4 linked regions of the Rhinolophus ferrumequinum genome follow. The protein of the gene in region 3 binds, or shares a complex with, the protein of the main gene of each other region. Links are inferred from orthologs where the notes say so. Each region holds a gene or a part of one and is shown on either strand. Other genes may lie near its edges.

Region 1 (7,021 bases), about 6.7 Mb from region 3:
CTTAATACAGAATCTAAGGATACAACAAACCAATATTAAATCCTCATTAATGGGATTTAACCTTTGTTTTCCGTAAAAAGGAACTCACATTTAAACTCATAAAGGACTATGAGGGGTAGGTGAGAGTGAGTATAGTTTATGTCTAGCAACTTTTTCAATTTCTTCTCTAGTTATTGATTTATACAAGTTTTCTAACCTCTTTGTGCTTTAATTTTGATTTACATTTTCCTTAAAAATAAGCCGTTTTTATTAGATTTTCAAATCTATTGAAAATTAAAATTTGAACATTGAAATTTTTTTTATAACTTTATAGATCTCCATATCAGTGTGTATTGCCCTTTCTTATTTCATAATGTTGTGCATTTACATTCAAATAGCCAGGTCTTTATCATTTCTTATGTTTTGCAAGCATTAATTCATTAACATCTGCTTTTATTCTTATTAACTCCTTGTTCCTACATTCTTCTGGTTTATTTTTCCTTTTTCTTGGTTTCTTAAGTTGGGTGCTTATTTTCAATTTCTCCTGCTTGTTAATAAAAATACATAAGGCTAAGGCCGGCCCGGTGGCTCAGGCGGTTGGAGCTCCATGCTCCTAACTCCGAAGGCTGCCAGTTCGATTCCCACATGGGCCAGTGGGCTCTCAACCACAAGGTTGCCAGTTCAATTCCTCGAGTCCCGCAAGGGATGGTGGGCTCCGCCCCCTGCAACTAAGATTGAACAAGGCACCTTGAGCTGAGCTGCCGCTGAGCTCCCGGATGGCTCAGTTGGTTGGAGGGCGTCCTCTCAACCACAAGGTCAGCCCGCAAGGGATGGTGGGCTGCGCCCCCTGCAACTAGAAAACGGCAACTGGACCTGGAGCTGAGCTGCGCCCGACACAACTAAGACTGAAAGGACAACAACTTGAAGCTGAACGGCACCCTCCACAACTAAGATTGAAAGGACAACAACTTGACTTGGAAAAACAGGCCTGGAAGTACACACTGTTCCCCCAATAAAGTCCTGTTCCCCTTCCCCAATAAAACCTTTAAAAAAAAAAAAATACATAAGGCTATGAATTTTTCTTTTTTTCCCCCCCTTTCTTCCGCCTCCCCCTCCCTACTCCCCCCTCACTCCAGTTCCAGCCGCTGTTTCTCAGTCTAGCTGTGTAGGACACAGCTCCCTGGACCCTGCTGGTGTTATGAGCCTTGTGCTCCCCGGGACTGAGGCAGTCGGTTGCCGGTCATCGGTCAGCCTCTCACAGCAGCTCATGGCAGCTCTCGTCGGCTGCCGGCCATTCACGCTGACTGCCGGCCACTCATGGCAGCACACGGTAGCCCACAGCAGCTCACGATGTCCACGACCGCAGCTCACGATGTCCACGGCAGCACACAGCAGCCCATGGCAGCACACAGCAGCCAGCAGCAGGCCCAGCTAACCTTCTCCAGCTGCTCACCACAGCCCAGCTCCAGGGAGAGCTGTTGTTCACAATTTTAGCTGTAGAGGGCGCAGCTCACTGGCTCTTGTGGGAATGGAACCAGCCACCTCCCTGTTAGGAGCGCAGCGCTCCCACCGCTTGAGCCCCGGGGCAGGCCCCCGAATTTTTCTTTAAAAAGGTTTTGGTCAAACCTCATAGAATTTGATGTAGTGTTCTCTGTTAATTTCTTTAATCTATGGGTTATTTAGAAAACAGTTTAAAATGTCCAGGTGTTAGTTTTTTGGGGGAAGAGTGGGGGTAGGAGATGTTTTCTGTCGTTAATTTCAAGTGTATCGCACAGGATGTGGCCCGTTATGATATCTACTTTTAAGAATTTGTTTTTCTTTGTGGTCTGGTGTATGTGCAATTTTTAAAAGTGTTTCAGAAGCATCAAAAAAAATAATTTCATCTTCTGTTGGGTGCAAATTTCTGTATGTACGCTAATTATTATTCAAATCCTTTTTGTCCTTGAGATCCATTTTAAAGGTTCCTTCTAAAATAGTTTAATCACTTTTTTCTAAAAGTTCTTGCTTTATCTATTTTGATGCAACTTTATGCGCTGAAAGGCTGTTTCCCTCTAATCCAATGTCCTTCTCCATGACCTCTTGAAGTCCCTCACTCATGGCTCTAAGACCCCAAGATTCTATCTCTAGAAATGGAACCTTGAGAACGCTGAGATTCTGGTCCCCTGACGGATGCTCAGCTAGGTAACAACACTGCGGAGCTTTTGGGTGGCACAATTGATGGGTTTCGCGCGTTTATGCTACAGAGACCCTTGGACATTGGCCCCCAGAGGTAGCAGTTAAATGTCCCAAGAGGGGGAGAACGTGACTAAACCAGCAATTCTCTCAAAATCTCCCTTTAACGACTCTGCAGCCTATAATAAATAACAAAGTTATGCTTAAGCAACATCTTAATAGAAACCATATTGCGGTGAAAGGGATACTAGGGATCCTGGGTTCTAGCTCTTGCACCCTCTCAATGTGAATTTGGATCCCAATTTCCTCCCCAGTAAAACCAACAGGCTATTTAGAATTCCCTTAGAAGTAGCTTTAATCGCTAAGGGCAGGGATTAAAAATATTAAGCCAGTGCTTGGGTCTCCGGAACCGAACGGACACTATAGTTTTGTCTCCTCCTACCACCCCCCCGCCTGCGCGATTGCAGAGCTAGAGGGAGTCCTGGTGAGTTCGACTTCGCTTGGGAGGGATCGATCAAGAAGGTGGTCGAGCAGCCAGTAACACAATCTCGGGGTACTCCTCCAGCCTCGTCAACACCTCTCTGCCTACCTCTCCTTCCTCAGCCGCAGCTTCTTTCAAATCCCCATCTCCGTCCCCGTCAGTTTCCTCCGGGATTCCGTCCGTGTCAGTAGCCCCGGGACCCCCGGGAGCAGCGGCTGTCTCATCGGACTCCCCTGTCTCCCCACCCTTCTCCGTGGGCGACTCGCAGGCATTATCCATCGCCTCCAGAATAAGGGCGAGGAGATCGCGGTGCTGTCCCTCTCAGAAGCCCGGGACCTAGCGCGGCACAGCAGCCCAGAAGCTTACTTCCTGTCGTCGCGCTGCGATGACATCACCCCTACCGCTCCTCGGAGGGTCATTTTGAGGCGCTCCTGGAGGACCTCAAGGCTCCGTTTTAACTCAGATTTGATGGCGGTGGGGAGAGGGAAAATTAAGGGTAGGGAGTTTAGTTTGTGCATCTTCCATCCTGGGAAGCCAACCTTTGTAAATAAGTGCTGTGTTGTTTATCGAAGGATTTCTTTTTCTTTCCCGCCTTTCCGAAAACGCAATGTCGTTAACTCCTTCCTTAACCGCTTTCCTCAGAGTAAAGTTTGGGGACGGGAGAAAACTCAGTTCCGTGGTACGCGCGTGTCGTGGCGTGCGGCTACCTGGTGAACTTTTAGGCAGGGACTCAGCCTCCTAGTACACAGTTCAATTGGACAGAGTCTGCGGGCCTGTGTTTATACTGAATTGCCAGCATTTCTCTTTTCCTCAAGCACCTTAAAGTCATAGCTTGAACAGAATTTACCCAATCCACAACTACTTCGAGAACCTAATTCAGCCAGGAACGGTGCTCGTACCAGAAACAAAACAGACATAGTTTATACCCAATTAAATAATTTTCACACTTCACCAGTACTCAAGGTCAGGGTCAGTTTCACTAACCTGACTTTTCATGTCGGCTTGGTTAATACTATCAAAAGTAAGAGGAAACAAATTCCATCCGGAGGGAGGTCTTTCCTTTGACTGTTTCATTTTAGGAGCCATTTCAGGGGTTGGGAGCATGAAGTGGAGATGTTTCTATTTTAAAAATTTCCTGTCTTCCCTCACTGAGGTACGGGGCATTTTATTCACCTGTGTGTCATTAGGTCCCCACACTCATTACATATTTAATTTATGCGTGCGGAAAGAATGGACTAGGAAATGTAGGTGCGCGTTACCGTATTTCTCTCTTTGTTTCTACACTGCCTGGACGCATTACCGTATTTCCTGTCCTGGGGGCTCCCAAACCTTTGGGGAAGGAGCGCAGTTCTGGAGGCGCACACAGGTGGGCCCTGGTTGTTCCCTTCCACCTGTACAGCGGGCGCCCACAGGGCGCTTTTCTCTCGCCCCCGGAGGCCTACCTCGGCTCAGCCAAGTCCAGGAGGCACCGACCACAGCCACCTGCGTTAACCGCCGAGCCCCGCCCAGCTAGGTGGGTAAGGGGGCGGGGCGCGGGGGCGCGGTGACGCGTGACGCCGGATCCCGGAAGTGACGCGCTCGTGGGGGGGCCTGGCGGGGGGGAGGGGGGTGGTGTCCCCGGCCGGTTTGGGGGGTGCGTTGCCCGGAGACGGAAAGTTTGGGAGACCGAGCAGGCTCGGCGACGGCCCCGGGAAGGGGGTCCAGGGGGCGGTGGCCCTGGGGATGGGGAAGGAGCAGGAGCTGCTGGAGGCGGCCCGCACCGGGCACCTCCCGGCGGTGGAGAAGCTGCTGTCCGGGAAGCGGCTCTCCTCAGGCTTCGGGGGCGGCGGCGGCGGTGGCGGCTCCGGGGGCGGCGGCGGCGGCGGCGGCGGCCTGGGCTCCTCGAGCCATCCCCTCTCCAGTCTGCTCAGGTGGGTAACGCGCCGGGGCCGGGAAGCCGCCACGAGAGCCCATCTCCACCGTCTGTCCCTTGGGTCCCCAGAGAGATCGAGGGTCCTGAGACCCGGGTGGGGTGGCTTTTCCGGGTGCCCCGGGGCGAAGGCAGGCGGCCCACGGGGCGAGGGTCGCCGGTGCGGGTCCGAGCGGCGCCGGGCTCTTCTTGTCTCGCGTCCTGACCCGGCTGCGAAGAATGGTGGGAGTGCCCAGGTGGCTGCCTCCGCCGCATGGCACAGCCCGGCTTCACCCTCGCCCGCGATAGGGTGCCAGCTGTCGTGTCTAACACGCCACTTCGGAGCAATATATGTATATTTTAAATCTCCCTCACCTCCTGCAGAAACACCCGCGTCTTGCAGAATCTCGCGGCTCCCCTGGAGGAAATTACCCTGATTTCCTTCTTCTGGGAACTTGGAACCTTCCACTGGGCTCTGCAGGATCTGGCTTTTGTTGTTTATGTTAAAATTGTCTCTGGATTTATCACGTCTAAAGTGTTCTTTGAGCTCCCCTGGTGCTTGAGGCTCACATTCTGGTTCCTTGTAGTGAACCTCATTGGGTTAGTCTGTTAAGTGGCATATGCAGGACGCATCAGGGGGTTTACTCATCAAGAAATAAAGCTTTAGAAAGACTTGGTTAGGAAACTATCCAAGGAGGCTTTAAACTTTTCCAAGGTCTGTTGTTAAAATAAACACTTGAATCTAAGCTGTAAAGACTGAGAGAAGAAGGTCACTTCTGTGTGGCTTGGAGGGGGGATTGTCAGTGAGTAAAATGTGATGGTTCAGCAGCACTTTCATAGCCTGTTTTCTTTTCCTTCCTTGTTCTTTTGAGGTTTTTAAGAAGTGGAAGTTCATTTAGAAATGGCTTGGTTTGGTTTTGTTCCCCATTAGTTTATGTAACTTCAATTTGGGTAAGCTTGGTGGAAGGAACCCTCAGGCTCTAATAAATTGTTAGGTATTAAGCATTGAGTAGGAACCAAGCTCTCTACAGGAAGATTTGAAAAGGCAGTTTAAGAGAAGAACTCTCCTTAGGAATTCTTTGGGGGAGGCAAACCATATGCTGCAATTTCTGCAGCCCGTAAGACAATTTTGTCACACATTTGGTACTCAGGATTTGTTGAGTAAATAAAAGTATCAAAACGATACATTTCTAAATAAACTGATGGTGGTACTCAGACCGTAATTGTTAGTTCAGAGAAATGAGGCATCACTTTGGGATGAGGTGGAGATCAGGGCTTCCAGGAAGAGAGGAACCTCAGCTGGTTTTGAAGGAAGTGAGGATTCGTCTGGTGAAGTAGAGTGAGAGTGGTCCAGGTGGGCACACCCGTGATCGCAGGCAGGGAAGGGGAAAAGGAGCCTTATTTGGTGTGAGGGGGACACCAGAACTTCCTGACTGGAGCCTTGACCGGTTGGGCACGATTAAGGGAAATGATGATGGATGGATCAACTTCCAGTTTTCAGAGTGACTTAGTGTTTCTCATGTTTATATTCCCAGTCCCTAGATCAGTGCCCGACAACTCACCGGTGTTGAATAAATGTTCTTTGAATGTGTGAATTGGGTTTTGAATCTTCCCCGGATTCCTTGGACATTTCTGCACTTCTGATGTCTGAGAGATGAGAGAAAGACCATGCAAGTTTGGAGTTGCCTGTCTCTTAATGAGTTGAATGATGTAGCAGTTGGAGGTTTGCCAGAGGGACCTTAACGCCCAGTGTATCCTGCTGAAGTGAGAGACTTTCGTCTCCTGCCTTCAAGTACAGGCCAAGTTACTCTTAGTGCTCTCACTCAGAGACTGTTGGAACTTCGGCTGAGGAGTTAGTTAAGCGAGACTAGGAAATCTTTGTTGAGCACCATGTTTTCACTTTGGGCCTTATGTTAATAAGTGTGTCATAAAGAGTGGAAGGTGGTGTCTCCATTCCCTTGTGTAAGGGAGTTCACTCCTCCTGACCTGCGTCTGTGTCTGTTGTAGACGGTTGATGGCCTGAGAGCTGGCCCAGCTCTCGTCCCTGTGACTCCTACGGGCAGGGAGGATCTGCAGGCACTTGTTACACTAGGTGTGTCATTAATTAGAGGTGACTCTGGTTCAACCTAGTGAAAGATTTCTGAGCAAATGAGACCATGCATTTAAATAACCCCTAGGTCAGCACGTCCTGCCTTTTTAGGTTTGGAAATAATAGAGGGTTAGGTCCACGATGCCCACACTCCCCACCTCGGGGACCCTGGGCTATTTAGCAAGAGCTGCGGAATGACAGTTTCAGAATGGGCCTTTGCTTTAGCTGCCATATCCTACCCCCACTAGTATTGCCAACTGCGCTTACATTTGTCCAGCTGTTTGAGTGACCAAGTAAAGCTGGCAGGAATAGGAGCTTACAGTCGCAGTGGATATAGATGTTCCACACCACATGTGTGTTTGTCTATTCATCTATTTATTCATCTGTTCATCTAGTCATCTACTTATGATCC
Region 2 (7,674 bases), on a different chromosome or scaffold from region 3:
TACTACCGTGTTCCCCGAAAATAAGACCTAGCCAAACAATCAGCTCTAATGCGTCTTTTGCAGCAAAAATTAATATAAGACCTTATTTTACTTATAGTAAAATAAGACTGTGTTTTGTCTAATATAATACCAGATCTTATATTAATTTTTGCTCCAAAAGACGCATTAGAGCTTATGGTCCGGCTAGGTCTTATTTTCGGGGAACACGGTATAAACTGTTCATGCTAGTCATCAACTCAAGCTTTGCTCCAGCATTTCTCCCATCTCCCTGCACCATCCATTTCTTAACCTACCAGGTCGTTCCCATCAGCCTACAAAATGCAGTTATTTCTCCCATCTTAAAAAAACAAAACAGTGGTATATGTACAGTGGAGTATTATTCAGCCTTAAAAAGGAAGGAAATTCTGACACCTGCTACAACATGGATGAACCCTGAGGACATTATTCTGAGTGAAATAAGCCAGTCACAAAAGGACAAATATGGTATGATTCCACTTGTGTCAGGGTCTTAGTCAAACTCAAAGTCAAAAGGAGGTAGGGAGGATGGAAAGTTATTGTTTAATAGGTAGACTTTCAGTTTTACAACATGAAAAGAGTTCTGGAGATGGATAGTGAAGGTTGCACAACAAAGTGAATGTATTTAATGCCACTAAATTACACTTAAAAGTGGTTAAGATGGTAAGTTTTATGTGTCTTTTCACCAAAGTATATATTAAAAAAATACTTTCTTCATTCCACTTTCTCTATATGCTATACCCCATATTTGGTTCCTTCTTGCAATAAAACTTCCTAAAAGAGTTGTCTTAACTCTGTTTCTAATTTCTCTCCTCTCTTGGACCTATTCCAATCAGGTTTCTGACCCCACTGGGTCCCTGAAACCGCTTAAGATCACTGAGGCATCACATTGCCAAATCTGAGGCCCACTCTCCGTTCTCATCTTCCTTACTCTCTCAGCAGCACATGGCATAGCTGACTACTCTCTTCTGACAACACTTTTTTTACTCCACTGCTGCACTACCTTCTCCTGGTTTTCCTCCTACCCCACTCCCTTTTGGTTTCCTTTACTGGTTCTTCCTCTTATCTGCTTAATGTTGGAATGCAATCCTTAGTCTTCTTCTGTAGCTATACTTACTCGCTGGTGACCTCAACTTCTGTTTTCAGTATCCCTTATAGGCTGATGGTGGCCAAATTTATCCCCAGCACAGAGCATTCTTCCTAGCTCCAGGCTTGTATGTCAAACTGTCTCCTTAAAATCTCCACTAAAACAACTCCTGATCTCCCCCGCCCCCCTCCTCCAGCCTCAGCTTTCCTGTCTTTGTAGTGCCATCACCCATGCAGGAGCTCACTCTCTATGTAAGCCTCACTTCAAGTCCACCAGGTGACCCAAACTGATTCCTCCATTCCCACTACACGGTCAGGTCCCCAGCATCTATTATCTGGGTGACTTCAATAGCCTCCTGATAAGCTCTTCCTGCTTCCACCCTTGCTTCCCTACATCTATTCCCAATATAGCAGCCAGAGTGATTCTGTCAAATTATAAATCAGATTGGGTCATTTATCTGCTCAAACCCTGTAATGGCTCCCCATTTGCCATCGAGTAAAATCCAAAATTTTCATATGGTCTACAAGGCCCTGCATGATTTGTCCTCTCCATTACATCTCTGATCTCCTTTCCTTCCTTCTTCCACCTTGATTCAGCCAGCCCCACTGTGCTGCCTGCTGTTCAAAACTGACAGGCATGCTCTTGATTTATGGGCTTTGCTGTTCCTTCAGCCTGGAATGCTCTTCCCCAGATGTCAGCTTAGCTGCCTATTTCATACTGCACCCCCCCACACACACTCTGCTCTTCCCCCGCCCCGGAGCATTGAACATCTAACATATACTGTATTTCTTATTGTTTATCACCACCACACACATCCCCTCCTGCACCGAGTGGACATAGATCTTTGTTATGTCCACTGATATATTCCAAGACCACAGACTGTTGCCTGAGACGCCTTAGATAATGCACATTTGTTGAATAAATGAATGAATTGTGAGGTTTAGAGATGTATGTGCTCAATACATACTCACTACCACTATTAAGACGAAGAAGACACAGGCCCAAGTTTTAAAATCTATTCTGCGGTAAAAAGTAAAGGGGCTTGCTTGAAGCTGGCATTAGGAAGACTAATGTCAAAAGTGTTTAGGACTGATTGCAGGGTGTAGGTGGGGGCGTGCTGGAGGGGTGAGAGGATAGAGGCGAAAGAGAATTTGGTTCTTCTCAAACCATCCCAGGTCTCCTCTCCCACTTTTGTAAGTCTTATCTGCGGGGAACACATTTATTCAACACATACTCTGTTCCTGGAGCCGGGTATACAAGAAGCGGTCGTGTCCCAGTTTCCTGGCGAACTCCCACTAATCCTTCAATACCCTGCGGTACCGTCTGCCAGTAAAGGCTCATAAATCACGTGACGGCCTAAGGAGCCCCTCAGGTCAGTGGAGTCGGCAGGAAGGCTTCACAGAGGAGGACCTTGAGCTAGATCTTTGTAGTTCCCTCAGCAGGGAAGTGGGTCGAAGATCCCCAGGCAATGGGTCCAGCGCGAAAGAAGCAGCAGAGCCCACCTCATCCCCCAACATCCCTCCAATGCAAATACACAGAACCCACGCGCACGGACACACAACCAACCGTCTTCCTCCGGGTCCCCACACAGGCCCGTCATAGGGTCTATTCTCAGGTACCACTCAGACCCACCCCCACCAGCCGTGCGCCCCGCTCAGGAAAAGACTCTCACCGCAGCCAAAGCGCCGCTCACCCGGCGCTCGGCGCCATGTTGGCCCCGCCCCCTCCCGGGAGCAGGTCCTGGCAGAGATGGGGAGCAAGTCACCGCCCCTTCTCCGAATCGGAGTAAGTCCCCTAGGCTCACGGCCTGAAACGATATAATAAACGCTGTTCCGCTGTCTACGTGTAAAGAGCACAGCCCCCTGCTATAATTACTTCTGTTTATCCCTTCACTATCGGGCGGCCAGGACCTTCGCGAAGCGCCACAAAACTGAGGTGGGGATGCCCTGAACACAGAGGCCCCACCCCTTCTTGGGCCGGCACTGCGCATGCGCCTCCTGTGCTAGGCTAGATTAAAGTTAGCGCTGACAGCCTTGGAATTTAAAGGGCCCGCCGCCTCCCCGAAGTTGGTTTGAAGGCAAAGGGTGGTTGGTTGTGGACAGCACTTCTGTCATGGGACCTGTGCGGTTGGGAATGCTGCTTTTCATTTTGGCTGTGTACGGTGCTTGGGCTGGGACGCCGAAGGAGGAGGACGATGACACAGAACGCCTGCCCAGCAAATGCGAAGGTATCTGAAGGGAGTAGCCCCTATTTGCATCCCTCTGCCCCAGTCCTTTGTCTGGGCCGGACCAGATGGACCGTGACGGGTGGGTCACTCGACCTCCTTAAAGATCCGAGGAAGGTTCTGGTGGAGTTTGGCGGAAATCGAATGGGATCAAGGGAGGGAACTCATAGCGCTACCCCAAAATTATGGCACTATAATTCCCATGAGACACCCAGAAAGGGCCCGCTTTTTCTGGCTGGCTTGTGACCCAATGGTTTGTGGGAATTCTCGTTCAGGGACTATCTGCGCAGGACCGCCCACTCTACTGAGCATCTTCAGTGTGTGTGTGTGTTTCCCCCATGCCACTGGACCTAAATCTGGAGAGCCTGCAGGAGCGTGGTGTGACGCTCATACCTTGTGGACATCTCTGCTCCACCCCGGCAGAGACGCTCCCAAATTACAGGTCCCACGTTCTCCTGAGGGGGTTTAGAGGTGAGTAAGTCAGCCCTAGCTCATAAATAAAAGAGGAGGCCACACAGCTAGGAGAGGTTCCCCATACGTTTGAGGCTTTGCAAAGGTTGTGTACTGTATGGATTTTACAGCAGACAGCATCTTCTGTGGCTGCATGAAGTTTGAAGCCCAGCTCAGAGGGGGCACTTCAGAGCTGGACCATTGAGTGCTGTGGTTCTCTAGTTTGTTGCCTTCCTGACATTAATTTCTTCCCTGAATTCTTTTACCCTTAACCTAAATTTCAGTATCAGTGTTCCTCAAGACTTGGTCCCACTCTTCTCCCCCCACCTCTGTCAGTTTTTCTAAACATATACACAATCTTGTCAGTCCTTCGGTCAGTCCTTGTTTTAACACCTCTGGAGGCCTCCTGCTGTGTTCAGACTACAGCCCACATTTTTTAAGGCAGAGCATATGTCTCTTTATTGTATGCCCCCACCTTTCTTTCATTTCCGTACCCCAACTCCCATCCCCAAAGTTCCCATGCTTAAGCCACACTGAACTTAGTGGTCACTGAGCTTGCCTTATCTTTTTGAACCTCTGTGCCATTGACGTTTTTCCCTTTGCCTGGAATGACCCTCTTCCTTCTGTAGGTGGTTCTTCAAGATCCAATTTAAATGTCACCTCCTTTTGAAGTCTTCTTTCTTATATATCACCTCCAACCACATTGTAAGCCCTTGGAGGGAAGGAGAGTACCTGTGTCTCCCAGATTCTAGTATAGTGCCTGGCACATTTTAGGCACTTTTGTTACTTGCCTTTGTGTTTAGTTCACTTGGCACATCTGTATAGGCCACTCCCTTTCTTGAGACCTGTCACATGCCAGGTCACATGCCAGGTGCTGGAAAGACAGTGGTGGAACAGATGCAATGCTCGCCTTAAGGAAATTGCAGGTTAGTAGGAAGTCAGTATGTGACCACTGAATGAATTTTGCATTTTCTAATGAGATTATGTCTCTTGGTCTTAACCGCTAGTGTAGGGTCCTTCACACCATATTGTTGTCTTTTATCTGTCCCCAACAATATTGGCAGTGTCCCATGGATAGAGATCGTGGGTTTTATTGCTCTCTGTATTGCTATTGTGCATCCAGAAGGAGCTCAATAAATAACTGCAGAACAGCAGCAAAGACTAATACAGTGCTCACTGTATGCCTGGCACTATTCTAAGGGCTTTCCATAGACTGATTTGTTTAATCCTGACCACACCCCTATGAAGAGGTACTGTTATTATCTCTATTTTAGAGGTGAAGAAACCAAGGCACAGCAGGATTGTCACACAGCTACTAAGTGGCTGAGTCAGGATTGCAACCCAGCTAGGCTGGCTCCAGAGTCTGCACTTACAACCATCATGCTCTACTGCCTTTGCTCATCTGCAGAATGAGTTGCTGGCATGTTTGTTTATTTCTCACGTCCCCTTGAACATCTAGTGTGTAAGCTGCTGAGCCTGGAGCTACAGGAAGAGCTGAGTCGCACTGGCCGATCTCGAGAGGTGCTGGAGCTGGGGCAGGTGCTGGACACAGGCAAGAGGAAAAGACATGTCCCTTACAGCGTTTCGTGAGTCCTTCTTGGTGCCCCTCCACCCTCAAACCCCCAAAGGAGCCCTGGGAGCTCGTACAATATTCAGGGAGTCTTTATTTCTCCTCTTCCCACAGAGAGACAAGGCTAGAAGAGGCCTTGGAGAATTTATGTGAGCGGATCCTGGATTACAGTGTTCATGCTGAGCGCAAGGGCTCACTGAGATATGCCAAGGTCAGACTCTTCCCCAGGGGAGGATCCTACTTCTCAGACCTGTATCCTCTGGGGCCCACCTCCCCCAGCTCTTGACTGTCCCCTCCATTGTTAAGACTCCCTCATCTCACCCTCAAGAATTCACCCAAGTCTCCAGTAGTTGACAAATCTGATATGGTGGAAATGGACAGAGGTGGGTAGTAGGCTATGCTGATCCCAAATTCCCATCTCTCAGGGGCAGAGTCAGACCATGGCAACGCTGAAAGGCCTGGTGCAGAAGGGGGTGAAGGTGGATCTGGGGATCCCTGTGGAGCTGTGGGATGAGCCCAGTGTGGAGGTCACATTCCTCAAGAAGCAGGTGAGATAGGATACTGCACTGACCAAGGAGGTGAGAAGGGAACCTGAAAGGGGTGCTAGACCCGAGGGAGGTCTGTCCCTGAGCAGGGAGAAGGGGCGAGAGTGAGGACTCTGCCATTAATTGCAGGAGCATACCAAGAAGTTATAATGGAGGCTAATAATATATACTACCACTTACCGAGCACCTACTATGTCCTAAATTCAAAGCCGCATACATTTCAGATGCTGCCTCATTTTAACCTCACAATAACCTTGTTACCATTTCCCATTTTACAAGCAAGGAGCTGAGAGTCAGAGTTTATTAATAACCTACCTGGCAGAGTAAATGTTTGTTGAATGAATGAGGATCACACATCTAGTAAGCCAAATTTAACCTCTGGCTACCTGCCTCTCTAAGGTGGGGTGGGGAGACAGGGAGTGAAGAGCAAAGAGGAGGGTTTCCAAAGTTCAGCTGAGCAGATACCCTTCTGACCCTTCTACTTGACCAGTGTGAGACGATGCTGGAGGAGTTTGAAGACGTGGTGGGAGACTGGTACTTCCACCATCAGGAGCAGCCCCTACAGCATTTTCTCTGTGAAGGTCATGTGCTTCCAGCTGCTGAAACTGGTAAGTGTGTGGGCTGGCCCTTTCCTGCCAGGTGACAACATCCCCTACCCCCAGGACACATCTAAATTGTTTCCTATTACCTAACCTAGGGTGTCTACAGGAAACTTGGACTGGAAAGGAAAAGATCACCGATGGGCAAGAGAAGACTGAAGGAAAGGAGGAGCAAGAACAAGAGGAGAAGGAGGAGGCGGAGGAGAAAGAGGAAGAAGAGAGGACCAACACACCAGGCCACTCCAAGCACGACCCAGAGGATCTTTGACCCTTGCTGTTGATCCCCAGGAAGGGCAGGGCTCACAGAGAAGAACTCTCTGAAGTCTGAGTTCTCCCTGCCTCCCAGTTTTAAGGGTGATGTTGTGAGTGATCCAACCAAGAGCTTGTAGCTGTTCTTTCCCATTTGGTCTCAGGCAGGATCCTGATGGTACAGCATGGCTATGGGAAGAAAGGTGTGTACAGTAGGTGAAAGCCCAACCCCAACAGATGAGCACTCTGCTTGCTGACTAGCTCCTTAATTGTAGGTGTGTGTGGTGACAGTATTGAAGGCTTTCCCCTTTAAATATCTTTACTACTACCCCGCCCCCCGCCCACTAGAGGTCAGGATGGCATAGGAGTTGTGGGCCGTGGGAAGGTCACTTTGCCCGTTTTTTAGACCCAGAGAGTATTCTCTACGACATAAACACCGCCTGCATCCAGGTTACATACCAACAAACTGTAACCGAGGGGACACTGGACGGGATGGGGTGATGTTGGTAAATTAGGTGGAGTAGATACTTTATGTACTAAGTATTAATTTCACCGAGGGCCCACCACATAATTTCACAGGTGCCAAATTTTCTATATCGCTAGTAAACTTAAAAAAATACACATCATCTGGGTCCAAAGTTTCAAAACAACTGCCGAGCACACAGCATACCTAGCTGGCCGATGTGGCAGCGCCCAGAGAATAGGACTGGTGGCCGCCTTCCGGTTAGAAGCGAGTAGTGCTTCGTAAAGCTGCTACCGGAGGAGGCTGGTAGGGAAAACACGGCTGAGGGCCGTATTTAGCCGCGGGTCAGTGCAACCCCGGCCTGCGCATGTCTGAGACTGCGCGGGGATTCAAATTCTGTGCGTGGTGCCACCCCTGCCGCAAAAATTGGATTTACGGCAGCTCGCACAGGACAAAATCCTTCCCGCCTCTC
Region 3 (7,076 bases):
TCATAGCTTTCTAACACAACTATTTCAGCTCAATCCCCTTCCGTGGCAACCGTTTCTTCTGAGAGAAAAAAGGCCTCTTGTCCAGTAGTATGAGAAAGAACTGCTTCAACTCCAAGGACCTTTAAACTCTGAATTCCAAAATCTTTCCAAGAACTGAATTCTTATCTGTTGGGAACTATTAGTCCATTCCTTTAGGACAAAAGTTCTCAAAGTGTGCTCTGGGAATCCGTAGACATTCCTGAAATCCCTTCCAAAGTCCACAGGTCAAAACTGTTTTCATAATAAAATAAAGACATTCTTTGACTTTTCACTCATTCTCTCATGTAGTTTTCTAGTGGCTATAGGACCTGTGATGACATCATGGCTCTGATGGATAACTGATCGTATGCTTGTTCATTCTTGTTTTAAAAATTTCTGTTTTCTTTATAGTGTGGCTATATATATAGAGAGAGAGCCCATGTATACACAACTCCACAGGGTTCTCAATATTTAAGAGTCCACAGGTGTTCTAAGACCAAAATGTTTGAGATTACTGCTTTAGGCAAACATTTGGTACTTAAAACTCCAAATGTCAAAGAGCCACCTCACCCCAGATCTTGCCCTGCCTGAGGGAGCCCAAATGTAGCGACTGATCAAGACCAAAGTACAAAGGCAGAGACTTTTCCATCTGATGTGGGATACCTGATGGACAATTAGCACCCAAGCTCCCCAATGAGTTGGCCAATTCTTTGCCTGCATTGCAGTTCAACTTCTCCCTCTGCCTAAACCTTTCTCTCACTTCCATTCATAAAGGTTGATCCTTCTAAAACACCTAACATACACCCATCCCTCATCCCATCCTACTCCCAAAAAAGACCCAAATAAGGAAATACACTGTACGTGCAGAAAAGCCTATGTGAGACCATTCTAGCTCCTAACCCTCAAGACATTTCCTTTTTAAAGTGTTTTTTCCCCGCATTCTACAAAACTTATTCACCCTTACTCTTTGTATCACATAACATAGCATTTGATTAACATATTTTGCCATGTGTAATGCATACTTTTTTGCCCAAATTTGTGAGGGGAAAATAAGGATGTGCATTATACACAACTCCACTAATTCCGTAGCTACTCGTAAATGTTTTAATTCTTTTATTTATGCTTATGAGTCAAAAATGTAACTCTAGAAATCAATAACGATATCCACATGCAAAATAATACCCAGAATATGATCATTGGTTTTGTTGAATGTATGACGAACTTGCAATGCCAAAGGGTTCTTCGCCTTCTATGATGTTTAAATATCGTAAATTTATTACCAGTACATAAAATTGCTTGTACCTTGTCTCTGTTTTTGTGTTTTGTAATTATTTGTTACATAAAATTTCTTGTACCATAAGACATTAAAAAATAAGTGCTCAAATTCCTTTATAATACAAAAAACAAGAGTAACTACATATAAACAAATAGCGATTTGAATTAAAAAAATTAAAACGGAAGGTTTTTTTCCCCCTGAAAGTTTGGGCCAAAAACATGGGTGCGCATTATATACGGGAGCGCATTATACACAGCAAAATACAGCAAAATACTGTATATCATGTGATGGCATGGGAATTAATCCTGACTCCAACAAAACCGTAAGTTCTCTGAATATAGAACACAAATAGCAATAATAACAGCACCTACAAGTCATCAAAAGCTTTCAATATTCCCAGCATTGAATGTTTTAAGTATACACCTCATTTACATTCACAGTTCTATGAGGTGCAAATTATCACCCCATTTCACAAATGAGGAAATTAAGGTTCAGGAGGTTTAGCAACGTGCCCAAGCTATTAAGTGGCAGAGCAATGACTTACACCCGTCTTATCTGATTCTAAAGCCCATAAATCACTTTACTGTGTTCTTTTTCTTAAATCCTCTCAAACACTATCACAACGCAGAACACAGAACAAATGTTTGGTTGACGTGAAGGCGGCCTATTATTTCCTGGTACTTACAGCTTTGTAGCATCTCTGTCAACGTTTCCACAGATGCTTTTTCAGCGCTCTCAAACCCTGCTTCTGTGAGCAAGGAGCTCACAACCACTTGCAGGGTTCGCCTCCGGGCTAGATGGTAGTTATCAGCAGGGTTAGTGGACTGTTTACCTCCTGATCTCTGTGAATCAGCAGCCCAGAAAGAGAGATTTCATTCACTGGACAAGAATGCAATTACATAATTCATATATCGTCAATGGCCAAGTAAAGATTCTTTTGCTAAATATTTATCAGTGCTTAATTAAATGGGATAGCTCTTATGTTTAGACTTATAGATCTTGGCCAACTGAGTAATAATTGAGCATCCAAGGGGCTCTAGAGATAGCCTTTCTGCTTACTTAAAACTTAAAAATTCCAATACCACAAATGAGTGTTTCTTACTTTTTATTTTAGCAGATTATCTGAATATACAACTGAAGAAACACGCATGACGGGAATGAATTCATGCCTATCTCCCAGAAAAAAATTATCTCTTTAAACCACTCACGATGGGATTTGTCTATCTCTCAGAAAAAAAGATCTCTCTCTTGTTCCTCCCGTCTCCACACCATTTAAGTAAAATTAAAACAAGAACACACGATGCTGAAGAGAGTAAAAGGGTTTAACAGCAAAGTAGGAAAGCTAAATATTTTGAAACGGGAATCCCTCCCAACTTTGGCTAGCCAATAAGAAGGCTTAAAGGGGCTCTTCGGACCAATCAGGAGGTGTTCCGGGTTCCCAACCCCCAACAGGGAACGAGCCAATCGGTATACAGGTCCACCAACTCAGGAGGCCGCCGCCAAGTACCAAGGAGGGGGGGCATATACGGCCTGAAAGACCCTCCTCCACTCGAAGCTCCTAGTGGGGCTGGACGTCTGGGTATGAGCTTGTTGCCCAGCCTAAGGAAAAGTTACAGAACGCCCAGACTCTCTCGGCTTCGATCCCGCGCCTCCCGCCCTTACCGTTCCGGAGCTGCCAGCCCCAGCAGTGGCCGTCGTGTCGGCCATCTTGCTCTGGCGTAACGTGCGCGAGCGCAAGGCAGGATGGGATTTGTAGTCGTCGGGCGGGGAGAGGGGGCGGGGCGGCGTGCGCCCCTCTGGGCTTTCTGAAACTCAGTGAGGAGGCGTTTGGGGGCGGGGGTGCTTCAGTTGACCCGACTCACGTGACTTCCAGTGAGCTGCAGGTTGATGTGGCCCCGGTGAGCCTCGGAATTGGCCGGGAAAATGCGCCCTCGGTTTTTACACCTATTTCAAGATGAAATCGTTTCTCATAAAGAACACACCCCTGGAACGCTCCGAACTTGACTGTTAGTAACACCTGGCTGGGTCCCGCCCAGTGCCGGTGACTCACTGTCTGCGGGAGGAGGCCTGATAATAAGTATTGTTGCGCTCTCCAGGTGATTCTCCTGAGCGGGAAATTTGGAGAAATCTGTGTTGTACTGATGATGACTCTGCAGCCGGTCAGTGCCCCACTTGCAACCAGAGCCTAACGACCACCTAGTCCAGGTCTTCCACTGCTCCCAGCTGCGGTCTCGCCCTCAGTTAATCCGCGGGTATTTGCGGGGCCAGACGAGAGGGGCAGGCGGGCGAGAGGCTCTGTCCTTTGCCCGCCTCACTCCCAGGGCATTGCGGTGCCTGTGGTTTCCTGTTCACTCGCCCGCCAGACCCTCCGGATGGGTTCTTCCTGCGCTGACCGAACTGGGCTTTATTCCTCTCGGTTTGCGGGTGCCTGGCGGGACGAAGACGATGGGTTTGAATTCTAACACGCGCCAGCTGTGGGACTAGGGGCGCAGGACCTAACTGCATTGTGGCCTCAGTTTCCTCTTTTGTGAAACGGGGGTGTGATTGATAGAAGGGGGGAAAGAGCTAATACAAAGGGTCTGTGGCGGTGTTAGACGTATAGCAAGGTCAAGAAACGGCGTCTCCTGTTGTTTATTTCCTGGGTAGCGCGTCGAAGAGCGGCTAACGCCTGGAGGCAGGAGTCTGGAAACCTGCGCTGCACCTGCACAGTCGCGCGTACCTGAGTCTGGGGGGCGCGCCTCTGCCCTCTCGCCTAGGGCACGGGGGGCGGGGTTTGCGGGGGCGGGGGACCACACCGGGAGTCCTGGCCCAAACCTTAGCTGAACAGAGCATCCAGTTCGCTTTGTCTCCCCCGCCCCCTCTTCCCCACTTCCTGCCCAGCTTTAAACTCTCGATCCGCGGCTCAGCGAAGACTGTAAACATGCGGCGCCTCGGGAGGTGGAGACTGGTTCTGTTTGGGCGTCTGGGGGAGTGGTGCACGCCCCTCCCTGCGGCTGGAGGTTGCGAACCCCCATCTCCCCAAAAAGAGAAGCCAGAGGCGGCAGGAGAGAGTGTCTGCGGCCACAATCGGTGCTTCGGGGGGCTCACCTGCCAAGGAGGTAGGCTTGAAGGCTGGAGAAGCCAAGATAATGGGGGTCAGCATCTTCCCCCTTCGTTGGTGCCTCCAAACTTAGGCAGGACACCGGGGTAGGGGTCGGAGGTGGGTGGGTTGAGGAGGTCACTGCGCTCTCGTCACCTCCTGGTTGTCCCCAAGAGCTTGGCTTATATTCTCAGTGAGCTGTTTGTTGTGCATGTAGTTGAGGGGCGGAGAAGCCCACCAAAGCCCTGAGTGCTCTACATGTTTGCACAGCCCCCTCCAACCTGAACCGCGATCCTGGAAAGTCAGTGGGCTGTCGTGGTTTTCTAGATCTCAGAGATAGAGGTGGGGGCCGGTAGGAAGGCAGAAGCAGTGTGGGCAGGGAGCCTTCAGGTTCTCTTGCCAGCCAGGGCCAGGGAAGGAGGCCAGAGGAGGAGACTGGAAGGAGGGACCCCTCAGTGTTTGGTGTCTGATGGGTACACAAGTGATGGTCTTAGCCTTTTCTGTGTCTTTTCATGTGTCCACAAGGGGAATAACTGAAGCAAGTGGTTGCTGTTACTAAGGGAGCATTGATATATTCATTTGCAAGCACCGAGCACCTGTATGTCTGGGATTGTATTGGATGCTGAGGGTGCGATGATGTGATGTACCCAACAGCTAGTATGCGTCATGATCAACAGAGATAAGTCTCCAAGCTCAGGTGGCTGGGAGGCTTCAGAGAGAACAGGATGTTTGAGTTGGGTTCTGAATGATGAATGGTCACCAGGCAGAGAAGTGGTGGGAAGTCTTGGGGGACACTTACTCATTCCACAGAGTGGTACTGAACCCTGATTGTGTTGTTGGGCATTGGGGTAACACAGGGACCCAAAAGCACTTCCTGCTCTCTTTAACCCCCTGTCTAGGAATGAAGAAGTGGGAATGAACATGATGAATTCAGGGGAAGGCAAGTTTCTGGGCTGGTCCCCAAGAACCCAGAAATTCCCAGCTAGATGCAGCTGGGAAGGTCCACCTGGGAGTGATGTGACAGTCCACACAATCTTGGGGCACCCACTCCCCAGCCCTGGACTCTAGGACTGCTTCTTCTAACAAATCTTGTTCTGTGCCCCCCACCGCAATTCTCTTTGGGACCCAACAAGGATGAAGAGAACTGGCTCTCCCGTTGGTTTTCTGCAGATTTTTCTGCTCTTTCAGTTCCTGGGCTCCTTTGAGAGATGACTGACAACAATTTATGAATTCAGCAACTGTCTGCTGTGGTCATACCGTCTGCACAGGCTAGATGTTGGGGACATAATGGGAAACAAGTCAGAGCTTCTATCCCCCTGGAAGTTAGAATCAAAAGCATCTCTGAGAATTCCAGCAGGATCCAAGTCTATGCCCAGACCTTGGGACCTTCTCCTCCCTGTTCCTTCCCTCAAGGGTTCAGAATACTAGCTAATGCTTAATGGTGCTGTCAGATACTCTTCTAAATGTTTTAGGTGTAATGTCTCATTTAATCCTCCAAACAGTCCTATGAGGTAAGCACTAGGATTATCTCCATTTTATAGATGAGGACACTGAGGCAAAAAGAAGTAATTTTCCTAAGGAGGACACGAGAAATAAATGGCAGAGCTGGGGTTTAAAGCCAACTCACATGACTTAGGAGGCTCTGTTCTTAACTACTAGGCAAGCCTGCCTCCTTGACTGACCACATAGAATGTGCACTTGAACCAAGGGCTTAGGAGTTTCCAAAAGGGACGCCATCGTCCTGTATGAGCGTGGGTGCTGGTGCTGTTCACAGGGAGCCCCAGAAGGCCTGAAATAGGGTTGAGGTAACAGCACAGAGCTGGCTGGTATCCTCTCCTAAAGGCCTTGTGTGTGTGTCAGCGCATGAACTTCCTAAGCTTCAGTCAGCAAGAGGAACACACCAAGGTTTGATGCAAGAAAGAACTCAACATAGATGAGATGTGCCAGAATCTGGTAGCTGGGAAACCAAGGCACCTCTCTTGTTGGAAATCTTTAAGAATAGCAGAGATCCTCATATTCTAGATTCCAGGAGGAACAATCCAACTTAGCTGAGTAAGGAAGATCGTCAAGGAGTGGAAGCAATCTTAAGATGCTCACCTCTCTTCCCCAGAGCTGCTGCATCGCAAAGCTGCGTCTGTGGACCCGACCTCACCCCTCCAGGCAGGCTGGGACAATGCCCGTGATGCAAACCAGGCCATGGGGCAGAGATTCCATAGATTACAGCCATTTTCCCATTACCTTTCTGAACGTTTGGGTTTCTCCCAAGAGCCCTCTGCACAGATCTGGAGAGACCCTGACGCTGTGTCTCTTTGCCTGCAGTCAAACCACCCCCTACCATCTATATTTGTTAGAGGGGTGTGTGTTGGGGAACAGGGGTTGATGCTCAGGCTGGAGGGTAGAGGGTGGCCTCCAAGGTAACTGGTAAGCAGGATGTGAAAGTTGAGAACTCGACAGGCCTCCAGGCTGCAACACACACACACACACACACACACACACACACACACGCCTTCCTCTCTCATCATAGGTGGGGTGCAGTGGAACCTTCCGTGCGCCCAGCCCCCTGCCCCAGGCACTCTTCAGGCTGGGGAGAGAACAGGTTGTACTCTTGAGAAACCACAAGAGGAAGTTTAGGGAGGGCTGGGGTGGGGAAAGTTCTGGGGCCCTTGCCAAGTTTCCCTTTCATTGGTAGATGTGTTTATTTTG
Region 4 (6,433 bases), on a different chromosome or scaffold from region 3:
TGTAGTGGGGCTGGAATTTTCCCACATTTGTTCAAATATATAGTAATCCTGTCCTGAGAGCTAGAGATCTCTCTACATGAGATTGGAGTGCTGAGACCCACCTTGTTTTTCCCTACATTTACAGGTGGCACTGGAAGGCCTTCGGCCAACCATCCCACCAGGCATTTCCCCCCATGTGTGTAAGCTCATGAAGATCTGCATGAATGAAGACCCTGCTAAGCGGCCCAAGTTTGACATGATTGTGCCCATCCTGGAGAAGATGCAGGACAAGTAGGACTGGAAAGTCCTTGCCTAAACTCCAGAGGTGTGGGGACACTGTTAGGGGACTATGTTTCCCCAAAGCTGTGGGCCTCTGGTTGCCTCCCCTGCCTCCAGTCATGGTACTACCCCAGCCATGGGGCCCGTCCCCTGTGCCCATCCCTACCGCTGTGGCCCCAAAAGGGGCTGGGCTCAGCTTTGTCACTTGCCACATGGTGTCTCCCAGCATGGGAGGGATCAGCCCTGCCTGTCACAATAAAGTTTATTATGAAAACAGGCTGGTGTGGGGACAAGAGGACAGACAAGTACATTTAGATTGGATGGCTCAGGTGAAGTAGTGTGGTTTCTTCACATTGATGCCATACTCGCTGAGGGCAGGGGTCAAGTCCTCCATGGTTAGAGTGTACTTGCGGTCCTGAGGGAAGAGGGAAGAGCACCAGCTAAACACAGGAATCCCAGATTTCAATCCCAGGTGGGTGACCCTGAATAGGTCTTTCACCTCCCCTAGGGCTGTTTCCCGAAAGGGGTTTCAGGATAAATTAAGCCTCCGCTGCTGGGAGGTAATTACTGATTCAATGAGCCTCCCCTCACACCTTGCTCTTGCTTCGGGAGCTGCCCGAGGCTGTGCCCTTCATTTTGCAGTGCTGTAGTGCATCATTGGCAATATCTGAGATGAATTTTTGGGCAGCTAGGGAGATGAGCCGAATTCTAGAGAGAGAGAAAAAAAAAACCTAAGGAAATGGACAGCAAATCCACACAAGCACCCAACTCTCGAACTTGCCCAGAATTTACTCACATGCGAGGGTCCGAGGCCTCAAAGCCAGCGCGGTTCAGGTAGTAACCAGTCACTGCATCTGGAATCTGAGAGATCAATTAGACAGCTATTAGTGTAAGCCCTATGCACTGCCAGGCTGAGAGTGAAAAGGTGAGGGAAATGGAGGACAGGCCTGACACTCGCAGGAAGCTTACAGTTTGGGTGGGCAGAGGGGATAAGTCACAAGAGCAAGTATGGGAGGGAAACACAAGAAGACGACACTGGAAATCCAGGTGGTGTGGAGGAAAATTGGCGTGACAGCGGGCCAATAGCCTTGTTCTGGCAGGAAGCCCACCGTAGGCGTGTAATCCTCCAGCTGCATCAGGAAGTCCACCAGAGGCGTGCTGGACACCACCGGCTTCACGTCTCCGTTGGCCGCACTCGGCAACACATAAACCCCGTTAGACATGGCCCCCTCCGGGGGCGCCGCGCCGCCTGCCGACACCGCAGCTGGAGGAGAACCAGCAAACTGAGACACGGAGGTGGAAGGCGCAGGGCCTCAGCTAGGTCTGCCTTATACCCTCTGCCCTCCCCCGCCGAGGAGCCCCGAGAAACACGTTGCCCTCACCCTCACCCGTCCCGGCCCTCACCCGCCCCGCGCCGGTCGGCCGGCTCCCCGGCCCGCGCTGCCACGGGTCCCGTGCCCCCTGCCGCGGCTCCAGCCCCAGGCCCTCCTGCTGTCCCCGCGGGGCTGGCCTTATTCTCCGCAGCGGTGCCGGCGGGCAGCACGGCGGGGGCCGAGACCGCGGGTGCAGGGCCCGGGGCCGAGGCGGCGGAGGCTGGCGCCGCCTCGGGGTCCGCGCCGGAGCCGCTGCAGCTCATCTAGCCGGTGGGAGAGGCGGCGAACAGAACCGCTTCCGCTTCCGCTCACGTTACGCACACACCCGAGTGACGTCACTCCTCGCGCTTGCCCCTCCCACGCCATGACCGCTCTCTCCCCTAGGCTTCTCTCCTCCTGGTTGCCTGTATGCCCGCTAGATGACACAGACCGAGGGGCGGAGACCAAACCTTGGAGAACCGCGCTGGCCGCGGACGTTCCACCTCCCACCGCTCCGTACTCGTCGGTGGTTCTGCAGGGCTGGGAATCCTGGAATGTCGAGGACTCTTCTGCGGATCAGGGACCCTCTTTCAGCCTGCCACCTAAAGACCTCTCTTTTGGCTCATTGGTCCGACAGGGTTGGACCATCTGCCAGCCTGCATGCTTTCCAGTTCCCTTATTCAGCCTTTTAAAGGTTCGTAGTGGAGGTGGAAAGCGCCCCGCTCCCCGCCAGCTGCCCGGAGAAGTGCAGTCTGCAGGAGCGCGCCCAGTGCTGCTGTAGATGCGGAGGGAGGTGTTTCAGCCTGAGTAAAAACACATATGCAAAAATCACAGCGAGGGAAAGAGTGAGGTTTTCAATGTAGCAAACATTTATTTAATTCCTATTTGCCAAACCTGAGCTAGGGCCTGCGAATGCAAAGTTTAAGTAAAACAAGACTCTAGTCCTCTAGGCACCAACTGTCTTGGAAAGGGAGGCAAACAGGTCAACTGGCAATTTCAATACTATGTAGGAGTTACAATACTAGAGGTAGACAAAGTGTGCAGTGCAAGGGACAAAGGGAACTAACACCTGCTGCCTACTTCTGTGTGTCAGGCACTCTTATCACCATTATTCCATTTAATTATTCACTGATAATTATGAGAGGCAGGTATCGATATCCCCACTTAACAAGTGAGGAAAAGGCTCAGGGAGATCAACTTACTGGCCCCTAAGGCTCTCCCCTAGTCTGTATCAGAAACAAGAATCAAACGTTTGGTTTCAAAAATCTAGGATTTTTGTGCTATACCAAAAGCAACCAGTAGGGAGCCAAAAGGTTCACAAGGGAATATAATGGATTCTGAGCTGAGTCTGGAAAGAATCCTGGAAATCAACCAAGCAAAGAGGAGTTAGGGGTAGTGTTAAGGGCACAGAATATCTTGAGCACAAGTGAAAGAATGTATATGGGAGGAAAGCAGGGGAGGATAAACAATTTGTTACTCAGGAACAAATAGCAAGGAAGAAATAAGGTTTGTGAGTCATGACAAAAAGCCTGAACTTTACCGGGTAATCTTTGAAGGATCTTAAATAAATGACCTGATGAGATTTTCATTTTATTCTGGAAGATGGTTTAGGGAAGGGCAGGAAATAAGGTAATTTTTTTGCAAGGGCCTTAAAATTCAGAGGAGAAAGAATACGGCTCTAAGCTAATGTAGTAGTGGAGATAAAGATAAGTAAATGAGTTCTACATGTACATAAGAAATATAACCGGCAGACCTGTGCATAAAGATGTGTTTAAGAGGCAAGTCAGTAGGACTTGTTAATTGAAGGTGGTGGTGGTGGTGGGCGATGAAGGAAATAGGAGTCTAGAATGACACCCAGGTCTCTGGTTTGGTTGGAAGAAGCATAGTATCATTTACCAAAAAGAAGAGAACAGATTGAGATTGGGAGAGAGATAAGTGTCAAGTATCACATATCTTCCTTTTGAAGTATCAATCACTGTTGGACAGAAAGTCTGACGTAGTGAGATGATGATGGCTGTGGATGCCAATCATGACGGATTTGTTCCAGGGGCAATAGGTAGAGTGAGAAGAGCAAAAGACTGAGGATGGAGAAATGAAGTACACCAATATTCAATGAGGAAGCAGAAAAAGAGGACGAAGGGGGTGGTCAGAAAAGAAGTTAAACCCTGGAAGCTACGGAAGGAGAGGGAGTGGGCAACTATGAAAGAAGGCCATAAAGCAAAGATTGGGAAGTGTGCACTGGAGGAAGCAGCAGGGAGGCCATTGTTTTTCAATGTCAGGGGAGGAAAGTACAAAAGTGAGAGCAGAAGTCTCAGTGCAATGAATTGAGGAGTGAACATGAAGTAAAATTCATGAGTGCACAGACAGTGTAGACAACACTTTGGAAAAGCCTGGTTGCAGAGAAAGAAGACATGGTGCGGGGGTGGGCAGTGTTGAGGGATGCATTCAAACAGCACTGGTGATAGCATCTATTGAGAAACCTGAGGCGGGAGTAGGGAGACCTGAGTATGATGGAACAGGGTTAGGGTTGGGAGTCAAGTCATGCTCATAGCACTTCAAGGTTAGGGGGATAAGCTCTCAGCAGTCAACAGGTGAGGGTTCAGCAGGATTTCCAATAGTGCAGAATAAGGAAACAAGCCACAAGCTGTGGGGCAGGAGACAGGCCCACTCTCCCGACAGGAAAGGGTCAGGGGTTGATTAATGTCTTCAGCAGAGCTGGGAAGTTGGGTGTTCCCCAGCCTGTCACAGGATCCCAGCCAGGGCCAGAACAGAAACCCTGACCCTGCACCTCTTCATTCAGACAGGACTCATGGCAGCCACGGATGACCTAGGGAGAGGGTGAGCATCAGATCTGGGCCTGCTGGTACCAGTACTAACAGACTACACCCCCGCACCCAATAGTCCCATCCTATGCTCTTATGAAAATGTCCACACCCATCCCTTCCACACTCACATCAAAAAGTCCTGCCCCATGCTGCTGGTAGAGCCTTGGGTTGAGAAAGCCAAGAGGGGGGCGGCCACTGAGGATTCTGTGTTCATTTATCAGGGACAGAAGCCCTCCAAACACTGGAGTAGAGGCCTGCAAGGTGCAAGTAGAAGTTAGGGGTTCAGAATGACTGCACTTTTGGGGAAGGATATTTGAAAGGATCAGAGGTCCCTGAGGAGTTAGGGCTTCTGGGTGCAAGGACTTAGGGGTAGAGGCTGAAGGTAGTTCCTAAAGGTTGGGAGCCAGGCTGATTCTCACCGAGGTGCCAGACACCCATGGAATGGGCACACGGTTGCTGACCACCCAGTAGCCATCAGAGAGTGCAGCTACATCTGGGTAGGCACGGCCACTGGCATTGAAGTAACTGGATGGTGGCATGTGGGGGCTGGATCTCAGGAACTGGGTTACAGCTTCCTCCTGAAAGGCATTGTTGAGTGAGTACTGTCTCCTGAACTGAGGATTCCCACCCTTCCTCACCTCCATCTATCCACACAAACCTACACTACACGTACCTGGTATGAAGGGCGTGGGAACACATTGCTGAAGCCACCACCACTGATATAGTCAACAATCTCACTTGTGACTCGAAAAGGATTCTGGAAGGATGTGCCTCCCACTGTGGTGACATAGGGGCTGAGGGCAGAAAACAGCACTCAGATTATAGGGGCCCCAAGGGGACTTCCAAAATGTGTAGATGTTGTCACACAGCAGCCTAGCAGACTGTCCCCCCATGTCTTTCCTTATGGAAAGAAAAGTCTGTGAGACTGTGCCTTTTTGGGACGTTATTTATCTCAATGTTTTATAGCTCATGTCTCTCTATCTAGTCTCCAAAAGAGGGTTTGCAGCCAATGACGAGTAAGATTCCCCACGGGGCGGGGGGGACAACTCAAGCTAGGCGGAACCCCATGGAGACCCCAATGAGCTGCTTTAGAAAGATCTGGGAAGGGGACTTGCCCCACTCCCCCCTGCCTGGGAAAAGCCGCTGCTGACTCTGACTTTTCCCTCTCACCTAATTGGGAGAAAAGTCTTGAGAGTGATAAGATTAAGCTCTCTCTGCTCAGCTCTGTGAAACAATTTCACCATGTGATATATGTCCCTTAAAGGAGTTGCATACCTCACCTCAAGGACTTTCTGCTTCGGCTGTTTGAAGATCAACATAATTGGTTTGGGTTGTTTCTATAACGTGATAAGTGAGTCTCACAGACTGTGCCAAAAACACTGCTACTCCCTTGTATACTTATCAATAAAAACCTCCAGTCGGCTCATATCTGGGCTCCAGTCTTTCAGAACTGTGAGACCCCTGGCCTTCTGAGATTTAAACTGCATTAAGTCTCTGTTTGTTTCTTTCTTAAAAACTTAACCCAAAGCCGCCCCTTCTCACACCCTCACTGCCCGTGTTGTGCTGGATGCGACATGTAGAGATGGGTGAGTCTGGCTTGGGTCTTGCGGGAGGGTCTGGAATCTGTGGGGAAGCATGCACATGGGGATGAGTAAAAGGTTTTGAGCCCTCAAGGGTGGCCTGAGGTGACTGCACATTTTCCCTACAGAACACCCACCAAATCTTCCACCAGAATGCCTGGGGACTAAGAAAGAGGAACACTGGGAGCTGTGTCCTACTCAGGGAGCTGTGTCCTACTCAGGGGCCTGGGACCTACAGGAAGAGGGGAGTACAGCAACCAGGGTGGTAAAGCTGAGGCTGAGCCACAGGAACACCTGATAGGGTCAAGGCAAAGGCTCTAGATCATGAGGTCACAAATGAAAGGCTGGTGGTCACAGATACATGGTGGGCTGGGGTATTTACCTGGAGGCAGGGAAGCTGGGACGGAACTGGTGTCTT

Evidence for each region.
Region 1: TAF8 (region 3) and TAF11 share a complex: the UniProt entries of both Homo sapiens proteins name them as parts of the TFIID basal transcription factor complex. The link is inferred for Rhinolophus ferrumequinum from reciprocal best matches to the Homo sapiens genes TAF8 and TAF11.
Region 2: TAF8 (region 3) and TAF6 share a complex: the UniProt entries of both Homo sapiens proteins name them as parts of the TFIID basal transcription factor complex. The link is inferred for Rhinolophus ferrumequinum from reciprocal best matches to the Homo sapiens genes TAF8 and TAF6.
Region 4: the proteins of TAF8 (region 3) and TAF10 are in contact, whole or in part, in a crystal structure (PDB 4WV4), measured with the Homo sapiens proteins. The link is inferred for Rhinolophus ferrumequinum from reciprocal best matches to the Homo sapiens genes TAF8 and TAF10. Residues at the interface, in NP_612639.2 of Homo sapiens: Arg33, Thr36, Leu37, Val40, Ser43, Leu44, Leu45, Ala48, Gly49, Phe50, Glu51, Ser52, Ala53, Glu54, Ala56, Ser57, Thr60, Leu61, Met64, Leu65, Gln66, Tyr68, Ile69, Ser70, Ile72, Gly73, Arg74, Ala76, Lys77, Cys80; in NP_006275.1 of Homo sapiens: Pro115, Leu116, Phe119, Leu120, Leu123, Tyr126, Thr127, Thr129, Ile130, Pro131, Val134, Thr135, Tyr137, Tyr138, Leu139, Ala142, Gly143, Phe144, Glu145, Ser147, Asp148, Arg150, Ile151, Leu154, Ile155, Leu157, Ala158, Ala159, Gln160, Lys161.

Annotation. Positions count from the first base shown.
Region 1 is NC_046286.1:4,993,850-5,000,870, forward strand, and holds the start of TAF11 (transcription initiation factor TFIID subunit 11), read right to left. Parts: upstream 3,017-7,021; 5' UTR 2,912-3,016; coding exon 2,741-2,911; intron 1-2,740. Other genes in the region: ANKS1A (ankyrin repeat and SAM domain-containing protein 1A), read left to right, coding at 4,355-4,542. UniProt on the Homo sapiens protein: The TFIID basal transcription factor complex plays a major role in the initiation of RNA polymerase II (Pol II)-dependent transcription.
Region 2 is NC_046290.1:90,401,667-90,409,340, forward strand, and holds the start of TAF6 (transcription initiation factor TFIID subunit 6), read right to left. Parts: upstream 3,019-7,674; 5' UTR 2,775-3,018; exon of another isoform or gene 2,337-2,774; intron 1-2,336. Other genes in the region: CNPY4 (protein canopy homolog 4), read left to right, coding at 3,665-3,797, 5,236-5,362, 5,461-5,557, 5,772-5,894, 6,382-6,499, 6,589-6,758. UniProt on the Homo sapiens protein: The TFIID basal transcription factor complex plays a major role in the initiation of RNA polymerase II (Pol II)-dependent transcription.
Region 3 is NC_046286.1:11,715,961-11,723,036, reverse strand, and holds the start of TAF8 (transcription initiation factor TFIID subunit 8), read right to left. Parts: upstream 3,007-7,076; 5' UTR 3,002-3,006; coding exon 2,957-3,001; intron 2,552-2,956; exon of another isoform or gene 2,397-2,551; intron 2,137-2,396; coding exon 1,980-2,136; intron 1-1,979. UniProt on the Homo sapiens protein: The TFIID basal transcription factor complex plays a major role in the initiation of RNA polymerase II (Pol II)-dependent transcription.
Region 4 is NC_046294.1:45,221,189-45,227,621, reverse strand, and holds TAF10 (transcription initiation factor TFIID subunit 10), read right to left. Parts: upstream 1,918-6,433; 5' UTR 1,895-1,917; coding exon 1,663-1,894; intron 1,523-1,662; coding exon 1,368-1,522; intron 1,120-1,367; coding exon 1,055-1,119; intron 967-1,054; coding exon 852-966; intron 674-851; coding exon 584-673; 3' UTR 507-583; downstream 1-506. Other genes in the region: ILK (integrin-linked protein kinase), read left to right, coding at 125-274; TPP1 (tripeptidyl-peptidase 1), read right to left, coding at 4,297-4,437, 4,564-4,689, 4,855-5,013, 5,109-5,229, 6,398-6,433. UniProt on the Homo sapiens protein: The TFIID basal transcription factor complex plays a major role in the initiation of RNA polymerase II (Pol II)-dependent transcription.